3 linked regions of the Anolis sagrei genome follow. The protein of the gene in region 1 binds, or shares a complex with, the protein of each later gene. Links are inferred from orthologs where the notes say so. Each region holds a gene or a part of one and is shown in the gene's direction. Other genes may lie near its edges.

Evidence for each region.
Region 2: SMARCE1 (region 1) and SMARCA2 share a complex: the UniProt entries of both Homo sapiens proteins name them as parts of the BAF complex. The link is inferred for Anolis sagrei from reciprocal best matches to the Homo sapiens genes SMARCE1 and SMARCA2.
Region 3: SMARCE1 (region 1) and SMARCB1 share a complex: the UniProt entries of both Homo sapiens proteins name them as parts of the BAF complex. The link is inferred for Anolis sagrei from reciprocal best matches to the Homo sapiens genes SMARCE1 and SMARCB1.

What each region holds. Positions count from the first base shown.
Region 1 is NC_090026.1:39,307,337-39,311,088, forward strand, and holds the start of SMARCE1 (SWI/SNF-related matrix-associated actin-dependent regulator of chromatin subfamily E member 1), read left to right. Parts: upstream 1-919; 5' UTR 920-1,044; intron 1,045-3,752. UniProt on the Homo sapiens protein: Involved in transcriptional activation and repression of select genes by chromatin remodeling (alteration of DNA-nucleosome topology).
Region 2 is NC_090022.1:220,641,832-220,645,583, reverse strand, and holds the start of SMARCA2 (probable global transcription activator SNF2L2), read left to right. Parts: upstream 1-770; 5' UTR 771-917; intron 918-3,752. UniProt on the Homo sapiens protein: ATPase involved in transcriptional activation and repression of select genes by chromatin remodeling (alteration of DNA-nucleosome topology).
Region 3 is NC_090026.1:666,605-670,356, forward strand, and holds the start of SMARCB1 (SWI/SNF-related matrix-associated actin-dependent regulator of chromatin subfamily B member 1), read left to right. Parts: upstream 1-1,579; 5' UTR 1,580-1,621; coding exon 1,622-1,711; intron 1,712-3,752.

The sequences.
Region 1 (3,752 bases):
ATGGCCGGAATCACTGGATAGTTGTAGGTTTTTTCGGGCTATATGGCCATATAGCCCAAAAAAACCTGCAACAACCAAGTTTAAGATCATCTGGAAAGGCCCTGCTCTTGATCCCATTGCCACTGCAAACGTGATTAGTGGAGATGACAGGGCCTTCTCAACAGTGGCTCCCTGTCTGTGGAATTCCCTCCCCAAAGACATCAGATTAGCCATCTCCCTCTTGTCCTTTAGAAGGAAACTCAAGACTTGGCTGTGGGACCTTGCATTTGGCCATTGAATAGTGGCATGTATGAAGAAGACATAAGCAAATTCGAAGTGACAATTAATTGAGCCAGACCAGAATTTTAATTGGTGTGTTAACTGTTTATGTGAGAAGGGTGGGGTGCAAGTATCTGAAATAAATAAATAAATAAATAAATAATATTCTGGGATACAGTGCTATGTGGAAGGGCCCTTAGTCCACACTGCCTTATATCCCAATTCAAAGCAAATGTGGGATTTCATCCAGCTGTGTGGAAGGGGCCTGTCTCAAGAAAGGCCGTCAAACCCCAGCTTGGAACATTGTTTTAAAAGGCAATTGGTTGCAGCAGCAACAACTCAAATACTTAAGCCACCATCCCAAAGTTGCTCAGGTTGTATGGATTCATCACGCTCCTCACGCAATGCCGATCGATGACGTCATCACGTCATCCAGCACGCTCTCTCCTCCTCCCTCCTCCACTTTTCCCTTAGCTTGGAATTCAAAGCAGCACTTTCACGTCGTTGCCACGGCAACCTTCGGAAGAGAGGACGTCTTGAAACTCAAGAGGAGGAAAGTATATGTGTACTGTTTAAAGTGGAATTCGAGAGGATTTTCTTGTTAGGTTTTTACCTTTTTTTCTTACCTAGCGAAAGGGAGGTCTGTGTGGAAAGTGCTGAAGCAGGAACGGAAATAGTGAAATAGAGGCCGCCTCGCCGCCGCCTTCCTTCTCCATCCCCGCCTTTCTTGGTTCGTGTCGAGACAAAAGAAGCGAGAGAGAGGCCTCGAGTCCGAGTGGGACGCGGGTGAGTCTGAAGGACGTGGCTGGGGCTTGGCTGAGGAGGCATATTGGGGTGCGGGACCCCAGAAATCCTCCTTCCTCGGCCACGCCAAAGCCAGAGGCCTTTCCAGGCCGGTGTGAAGGGAGGCCTGTTTCTGAGAGGAAGGTTTTTCTTCATCGTTGTCGATTATAATTAACGCTGAGGCCGACTTGAAATATACTGCAGTATTATCATAATGCAGTTAAAGTGCGTTGTATGAGTCTACACTGATCATACAATACACTGGTCGAAATACCTTCTGTTTTTTTTAATTTCTTGAATTATATTATTTATTTTCTCAATTCCTAATTATTATAATGATTTAATGATTTAATATTACTTCTTTTTTTGTATAAGTAAGTTTTATTTTGTTTCCAAAAGAACAAAAGAAAAACATTACAAAAGGGGAGGAATTTCTGAGTATTCCTTGCCTAACAAACGCCTATGAAATTCATAATGTTGTCATAAGTCGACAGGCAACTTGCATATATAAATGGACACACTCTTAAAACCAACACTTAGTAATACAAAAGAAAAGAATTATAAGTACTCACTTATTAGATTGTATTATTTCCCAGATATGAACAGGAAAGAACCACCACAGTAATACTACTAAAAGGTAAAGGTTGTCCCCTGGCATTAAGTCCAGTCATGTCTGACTCTGGGGGTTGGTGCTCATCTCCATTTCTAAGCCGAAGAGCCTGCGTTGTCCATAGACACCTCCAAGGTCATGTGGCCAGCATAACTGCATGGAGCACTGTCCCTTTCCTGCTGGAGCAGTACCTACTGATCAACTCACATTTGCATGTTTTTGAACTGCTAGGTTGGCAGAAGCTGGGGCTAACAACAGGAGCTCACACCACTCCCCAGATTCGAACCTGCTACCTATTGATCTGCTCACATTTGCATGTTTTCCAGCTGCTAGGTTGGCAGAAGCTAGGGCTGACAGAGGAAGCTCATGCCACTCCCCAGAATAGAACCTGCGACCTTTCGGTCAACAAACTCAGCAGCTCAGCACTTTAACCCACTGTGCCACCGGGGGCTCCAGTAATACTACTACTACTACTACTAATAATAATAATATAAACCCTTATTTATATTCCACCCTATCTCCCTGGGGGACTCAGGGCAGATACCAACATACAAAAAGGAAAACATTCAATGCCTCAATAATTTATTTATTGTATTTACAACATTTATATGCCGCCCTTCTCACCCCAAAGGGGACTCAGAATGGCTTACAAGAGATATATATATATACACACACAATATACTGTATTAATAGCATAGTACAATAACAGTATTAAATATTACTATATTGTATTATACCATTATATTGTAATATTATTAGTAATATTACATGTAACATAAATATATAATTATAATACCATATTATTAGTAGTATTATATTGCATTACATTAAAACAAATAAGTGCCAGCAAATAACCCAAATTAACACCACATATGAAGACATTAGAACCTAACATCAATAAATTAAACACAACATAATCAACAAAGTAGCCTAACCTTTCCAAGACATACGTGTGTGCTTTCCACTTACAGAACCATGAAGCCAGCAGGAAATTGTAAGTTACCTGGGAAGGTCAAGAGGTTGAACATTGTTTCCATCCTAAATATCTTTGTGTCATCTTAGATTGAACGCTAACATATAGGAAACACTGCAGGAACACCAAACACAAAGTAGCTGCATGCAATAACATCCTGCAGAAACTTAACTGGCAGCACATGGGGTGCAGACCCAAAATTAATAAGAACATCTGCCCTGGCCTTGTCTTACTCAGCTGCCAAGTATGCCTGCCCTGTTTTATTATTATTATTATTAAACTATTTGTACCCCGCTAGCATCTCCCGAAGGACTCGATGCGGCTTACACAACTCTGCCCACGTGAAGCAAGTGAACATAGTGATGAACAAAACATACAGAGTGATCACATAATGTCTTAAACCTACACCTGTTGATAAACTCTACAAGCTAGCTGGCATTCCCCCCCCCCCCCCATGTGTCACAGGAAGTTGCTACTAACTGAGAGAAATAAGGTTGAACACTGAAAGCCATCCACTGCATGGTTATCAGCCTCCTCCCAGTAGACTAATCAAGGAAAAGCGTCATGTGAACCACCACTCATCTTAACGTTTTCCCAGAAACAGCAAGAGTATCGTTCTAAGCAGCTAATCCAATTGGATGCCCCCCCCCCCCACGAGGATCTGTCTCTAGGGGCAAACTAAGAATGGGAAACTTGGAGGTCCCCGAACAAACTCAGAAGTGGAGTGGACAGATCACAAAACAACCTGACAAAATGGCACTACCTAAAAGAATCCTCCACCTTGTGTGGCTACGGAGCAGAACAGACAACTCCGCATCTGTATGCTTGCCTGCAATGTCCTGCCTCATGTACAGAAAAAGATTTGTTTGAGGCTATAGACCAGGGGTCCCCAAACTACGGCCCACGGGCCACTTCCGGCCCGCCAAGGGCCCCGATCCGGCCCGCAGAGGAGGAGCGCCCCCCCCCCCACACACACACACACACAGTGCCCCTCCGTTGGCAGGCTCACGCTATCTATCAGGCCTGATGGACAGTGTGAGCCAGCCAAGGGAGGCTGCTCCGCGTGGTCTACTCGCAAGTAAAGCACCTTGCGAGGCGCTTTACTCACAAGTAGGCCACATGAGCCAG
Region 2 (3,752 bases), on another chromosome or scaffold:
ATGCAGGTGAAATGTCAGCAGAGAATGCTTCTGGAACATGGCCATACAGCCCGGAAAACTCACAGCAACCCAATGATTCTGGCCATGAAAGTCTTCGACAACACATTTCTAGAATAGCTTTCAATGCTGCTTCTCCATCTGGGTGTATGCTTAGCAAACAAGCTCTTGGTGCCAGGACTTCATCAAGGGATACTTGAAAGTTGAAAGGGCAGCTGATTGGCACAAATGGGTTGCTTTTGGCAGTCCGCCCTCCTTCCTGCCCCAAAGGGACAGATGAAAAAAGAGGGGCCATAATGTAGTTTGGCCCCACTTTCATTGCCTGGCTCAATAATCGTGGGAACAGCGACGTTTTAGACTACTCTGCCCAAGAGTGCTTTGTCCCTCACCAAACTACAACTCCCAGGATTCCATAGCTCTGAGCCGTGGCAACTAAAGTGGTGCCAAACCGTATTAATTCTGCAGCGAAGACCTTCCGCTCTATTCTGCGCGCACAAGGCAGGGACAGCCTCGAGCACTGCTCGCTTCCTTCCCGCGCATGCGCGTACGCACGACATTCCCCCTCCGCCTCTCGCTTAGCTTGTCTCCACAATTCTTGAAAACAAGAGCGCGCGACTGTAAGCTTTTGATGGACAGCTCTCTCTATCCAACCCGGCGCCGCGTTCGGCTTTAGAGGGGGCGGGGGAGCTTGCCGCGCAATTGGACCAATGGGAGCGCGCCTGCCTTTTCCGAAGAGGGAGGGGCGGGAGCTAAGGCAGTGGGCGGAGCCAGGAGGCGGGCCGGGAGTTTAGGAAGAGGAGGGCTCGCCTGTCATCAATGAAGTCATATTCATAATCGAGTTCCCCTCGCCGGAGCTGTACTCCGGGTGACTCAGAGAGGGAGGCATCCAGCACCGCACCGCACCGCTCTCCCCCGGAAAGGTACCGCTTGTTTACAACTTTCTCCTGCCACCCTGGATGTATTTATTTATTTCCTCTGTTGGGATGGAGGAGGGGAGCAGAGAGTTGGCTTTGGATTGTGCAACCCCTCCACCCCCCCCCCTTCTTTCCTCCCTCGGAGACTCTCTCTCGCTGTGGCTTCTCCTCCAGAAAAGAGGGCCTCATCTACACGGCCCTATAATGCGGCTTGAGACTCGGTTCAAACTGCAGGACGTGAGTCTGCACGCCGGCCCTGCAAGGCAGTCGCAAAACTGCATTACAGGGCAGTGTAGATGGGGCCAAAGTTTGATCCGGGTTGCCTGGAGGCTGCCAAAGAGGATCCACGCCGGATCGTGACCTTCCCTCCGAAGCAGGGGGCTGGCGGGGTGAGTCAGCTCGACCTGGCAAAGGGCTCTCGGCTGCTGCAAGAGGCAGGCAGGCAGGCAGCGGCCCCATCCTCTTCCTCCTCCTCCTCCTCCTCCTCCTCCTTTAGGGCTTTGGCTCCCAAAAGCAGCCAGAAATAGCTCTAGGAACAAGCTGCTAGGAAGAGGAGGAGGAGGAGGAGGAGGAAGGCTTCTTGCAACGCTGGCTGGCTGCCTTTCCTCTCTGGATTGGAGCGATGGGAGAGCGACAGTCTGTTTCCTTTCCCCTTTGGCGACCCTTTATTTTGGGGAAGGGGGTAATTGCAGGAAGGCTGAGACGAAGGTGGAAAGGTTTGCTCTTGTGGATGCCTCTTGGGAGCAAAAAAGAGTGCTGGAAGTTGGCTCTTGCCCCGAGCAAAGCGCCGGAGCCCATCTATTATTAAATTATTATATTATTGTTGCTGCTGCTGTTGTTATTTTGCCTGGGCTTTTGAGAGTTTGGAGAGCTAGCCCAAGGGGCAACAGCAGGGTTCTCCCGTTCCAGCAACAAGGAGGCCATGATCCGGATAATCTCCCAGTCTGTCACACATAAACACACACACACACTCACACTAGATCGCAGGACTTGCTTGCCCCCCTGGCCATATGTAGGCAGAGAGGCATCGCTCTAAAGATGTCGCTAGATCGGGCTGTGTGGCTTTGAAATCCCCTTTCCCTCCTGGCGAGGATAACTGGCCTCTTAGATAATGAGTAGGGAGAGATACATGGAGATAGATCTGTTGCTAGATTGTGTGTGTGTGTGTGTGTTTAGGTTGTGCGGGGTGTGGGAGGGGGGAGCCACATAGATCTGTTGATGTTGCTAGCTAAGAGGTACTTGGCTTGTTCAATAACTAGGGAGGGATAAACAGATCTGGATGCGTTGCTAAATCAGGCTGTGCTGATTTGAAATCCCTCCACAAACGTCCCCTTTCCTCGTGGAGAAGATAAATAAACAGTTGGCCTCTGAAATGAGTAAAGAGGGAGGCATAGAGCTAGGTCTGTTGTCGAAGGATTCATGGCCGCAATCACTGGGTTGCTGTGAGTTTTCCGGGCAGTATTGGCATGCTTTAGAAGCATTCTCTCCTGACGTATTGCCCACATCTATGGCAGGTATCCTCAGGGGTTGAAGGGTCTGTTGGAAACTAGGCAAGTGGGGTTTATATGTCTGTGGAAGGTCCAAAGTGGGAGAAAGAACACTTGTCTGCTTGAGTCCAGGCAGGGCCAGCTAATACCCTCCCAGGCAGGAAGCAGCCAGGCTTTGAAGCTGCAAGGCCATTCAATTCTCACCAAGCTGGTCAGCTGCAACATTCACTCTTGCTTCAAGCAGACAAGAGTTCTTTCTTGCACCTTGGACTTTCCACAGATATATAAACCTTACTTGCCTCGTTCCCAACAGACCTCACAACCTCTGAAGATGCCTGCCACAGATGCAGGCAAAACATCAGAAGAGAATGCTTCTGGAACATGGCAATGCAGCCCAGAAAACTCACAGCAACCCAGAGCTAGGTCTGTTGCCTGTGTTGGGTTGAAATCCACGCACAGGCAAATGTGTACTAGGCCTCTTCAGTGAGTAGGGAGAGATAAACAGATCTAAAGAGGTTGCTAGATCAGGCTATGTTCATTTGGAATCCCCAACAGATTCCCCCCTCCTTTTGCCAATGGAGAAAGTAAAGAAGTAGCTGACCTCTGACATAAGTAGGTAAACACAGTTTGGCAGATGGGGGGCATTGGTTTGAAGCATCCCTCCCCCCTCTCCCAGTGGCAAAGGCAAATGAGCTGTGTTGGCCTCTTTTAATAAGTAGGGAGGCATAAATTGAGCAAATGTGTTGCTAGATTGAGGGGGGGGGGCTTGGCCGTGGCTAAGGCGAAGAAGTAGTTAACTAGATCTCTAGAGAGAAAACCAGATATATTTCTAGTTCTGTGGAGGAGGAGTGCTGGGATGGCTTGAAATCCACCCTGATGAAGGCTAAGCTGCGCTTGGCCTATTCAATAACTAGGGAGAGATAAACAGATCTGGATGTGTTGCTAGATTAGGCTGTGCTGGTTTGAAATCCCGGAAGGTAAAGAAATACCCAGCCTATTCAGTCACTAGGGAGAGGAAAACTGATCGAGATTGGTAGGCGGGGAGCTGTGTGGCTTTGGAAATCCCCTCTCCTGTCAAGGTAAAGAAGTAGTTGGTCCTTGCAATAAACAGAGGGAGATCTAAACATGTTGACACATCAGACAGTGCTGGCCAAAAGTAAATAATAAGTCAGTAAAGAAATAGATTGCTAGACCTGGAAGGCTGCCTTGGTTTGAAATCCCCCTTCTCTCTAAAGGTTAAGAAGTTGTGTGCCTTTTCAATAAACAGGGAGAGAGAAATCGAGCTAAGAAGTGGGTTGCTGTGAGTTTCCCAGGTTGTATGGCCATGTTCCAGAATGTCCCTCCTGATGTTTCA
Region 3 (3,752 bases), about 39 Mb from region 1:
TTTGCTGAAGGGAGCATTGGTTGGATTTTCTTGGTGGGTCTGGAGATGGTTTGTATGTTGTGTTTCCTCATCAGCTTCCTTCTTCGGTCAGTGGTTCCCTTGATGTCTGGCAGGAACACTTTTCCTCTGGGTGGATCTTCCTCTTTACTCTCGTGGCTTGTTCTTGGTCTTGCAGCTCTTCTGATGCCTGAGGTGGAGTCTCCCTTGGCCTGGAGAGCCCAGTTGAGGTGGTTCAGTTCATCTTGGAGGAGGTGGGCTTCGCAGATTCCTTTTGCATGGTCTGCCAAGGCTTTGATGGGGCTTCTTTTTTGACTTGGGTGATGGTTGGAGTTTTTATGTAGATATCTATCTGTGTGTGTGGGTTTTCTGTAGACGGTGTGACCCAATTGTTGATCTGGTTTGCGGATGACGAGGACATCTAGAGAAGGCAGTCTTCCTTCATTTTCTTTTTCTATGGTAAACTGGATGTTTGGGTGGATGCTGTTCAGATGCTCCAGGAACCTGTTGAGTTCTTCTCCTCCATGGCCCCAAATAGTGAAGGTGTCATCCACATCTCTGAACCATATGTTTGGGTGGATGCTGTTCAGATGGTCCAGGAACCTGTTGAGTTCTTCTTCTCCATGGCTCCAAAGGGTGAAGGTGTCATCCACATATCTGAACCATATGGTGGGCTTTTTGAAACATTCACACCTAGCTCCAGCACACAAGAGCTCTTTGCCCCACCCTGGACATCATTCCACAGATATATAAACCCAATTTCCCTAGTTCCAACAGACCTCACAACCTCTAAGGATGCTTGCCATAGATGCAGGTGAAACGTCAGGAGAGAATGCCTCTAGACCATGGCCATAGAGCCCGAAAACAACCAATTCTCACCTAGCTCCAGCAGACAAGAGTCCTTTGTCCCACCTTGGTCATTCCACAGATATATAAACCCATTTTTTCCTACTTCCAACAGACCTCACAACCTCTGAGGATGCTTTCCATAGATGCAGGCGAAACGTCAGGAGAGAATGCCTCTAGAACATGGCCCTATAGCCCGAAAAAACCCACAAGAACCTAGTGAGGGAGACAACTTTAGTCAGGCAGTGGGGAGGACAGCCCTTCTCTCCTCAGGGGTCCTTCAGGGCTGCGTCACCGCGCACGACGCTAGACCGTCGCCCCTAGCAACAAGCCACGCCCCCAGCACGGTTCCGAAGAGTTCCTCGCTTTAGTCAGGCAGTGAGGGAGAGAACTTTAGTCAGGCAGTGGGGAGGACAGCCCTTCTCTCCTCAGGGGTCCTTCAGGTTTTCCCATACGGGATGCTAGACCGTTGCCCCTAGCAACAAGCCACGCCCCCACCACGGTTTCGAAGAGTTCCTCGCTTTAGTCAGGCAGTGGGGAAGACAGCCCTTCTCTCCTTCTCTGGGGTCCTTCAGGGCTGCGTCACCGCGCTCGACGCTAGACTGTCGCCCCTAGCAACAAGCCACGCCCCGTTAAAGGCGCGAAAAGGAAGCGGGGATAAAGTGGCCAATGGGAAGTGCCGGAAGAGGCGCGCCCGTGATGACGCAGGGCAGGCACGCCCCCTTCTCGGCGCAGGCGCAGTCCGTCTCCTGCTCCTCCTGTTCTTGTGAGGCGTAGGATGATGATGGCGCTGAGCAAGACCTTCGGGCAGAAGCCCGTCAAGTTCCAGCTGGAAGAAGATGGCGAGTTCTACATGATCGGATCCGAGGTGAAGCCGGGGAGAAGGGGAAGAAGGGAAGGAAGGAAGGGAAAGGGAGGGAGGAGGCCTGGCCTGCCTTCCTTTCATTCAGGAGAAGGAGAAGGGTGGATTGGGCCTTGTGGTCGCTTCTTCTTCCCCATCTTGTTGTTGTTGTTGTTGTTGTTATTATTATTATTATTATTATTATGTGGTATCTTTTAACCACTCTATCCTGTATTATTAATATTCTTCTACCATGATTAATATTAACAATACATGATAGAGTTGGAAGAGACTTAATAATAATAATAATAATAGGAACAATATTAATATTGTTCTATTATTATTATTATTATTATTAAGTCTCTTCCAACTCTATCATGTATTAATAATATTGGGTTGCTTTTTTCTGTGGGAGGCAAATGTGAATGTTGTAATTAATCACCTTGATTAGCATTGCACAGCCTTGCAGCTTCAAGGCCTGGCTGATTCCTGCCTGGGGGAATCCTTTGTTGGGAGGTGTTCACTGGTGCTGATCGTTTCATGTCTGGAATTCCCTTGCATTCAGATTATTAATATTGTTCTATCATGTTTTATTTATTTATTTATTTATTTACTTACAGCTTTTATGTTCCGCCCTTCTCCTCACTCCACAGGGTACTCAGGGCGGATTACAGTGTACACATATATGGCAAACATTCAGTGCCAATTTTTTACATACAAACATATACAGACATACACAGAGGCTATTTAACTTTTTCTGGCTGCTTTCCTCGTCCATCTGCGATGCTGATGAAGCACTTCCGCATTCCCCGCATGCTTCCCCGCTGGAATGCTTTGCTGGAGTCTTCTTTATGGCCTCATAAATCAGTTAATTTAGCCTCCCCACACTTTAAGGTGGTACCTAATTTTCCTACTTGACAGATGCAACTGTCCTTTGGGCTGCAAAGGTCGACAACAGGCTACACACAATTGCTTGGAAGCCCACTCCAACCCGGGCTGGCTTCGAACTCATGACCTTTTGGCCAGAATGATCTTAATGCAGCTGACACTCAGCCAGCTGCGCCACAATCCCGGTATTATTAATATTAATCACGATAGAACAATATTAATATCAACAATACATGATAGAGATGGAAGAGACAATAATAATAATAGACCAGTAATAAATAAATAAATAAAGCTTTATTTGTACCCCGCTACCCTCTCCCCAAGGGACTCAGTGCGGCTTACATAAGGCTGAGCCCACAATACATCAATACAAGCAATAACAACAACAATACAAAGCAATTAAAATAAATCTCAAACACAAATAGCATAAACATTGACAATAGCACAACACACATTTAAAATCTATGGCTGGGCCAAATGTAATTAAAATTTAAAATAATGCTGGGCATGAACAAGATAGGGAGATGGGGCGTTGGAGGGAACATTCAAACAATCCTAAATCAGAAATGTCAGGAGAGAATGCCTCTAGACCATGGCCATATAGCCCGAAAAAACCTACAACAACCCAATCCTAAATCAGTATAAGGTGCTTTAGAGGACATAGTATTTATATTAATATTGTTCTATTATTATTATTATTATTATTATTATTATTATTATAAATATTGGTCTATTATTATTATTGTCTCTCTAACTCTATCATGTATATTAACACTGTTCTATTATTATTATTATTATTATTATCCACTGAGCTGCTGAACTTGTTGACCAAAAAATCACAGGTTCAAATCTGGGGAGCGGGGTGATCTCCCGCTGTTAGCCCCAGCTTCTGCCAACCTGGCAGTTTGAAAATATGCAGGTGTGAGTCGATCAATAGGAACTGCTCTGGTGGGAAGGTAACGGTGCTCCATGCCGGCCACATGACCTTGGAGGTGTCTACAGGCAATGCCAGCTCTTCAGCTTAGACATGGAGATGAGCACCACCCCCCAGAGTTGGACACGACTTTACCTACTTTACCTATGACTATTAGCTATTACTATTATTGTCTCTTCCAACTCTATCATATATTATTAATATTAGTACTGTTATATCATATATTATTACCATTTATCATAGAAC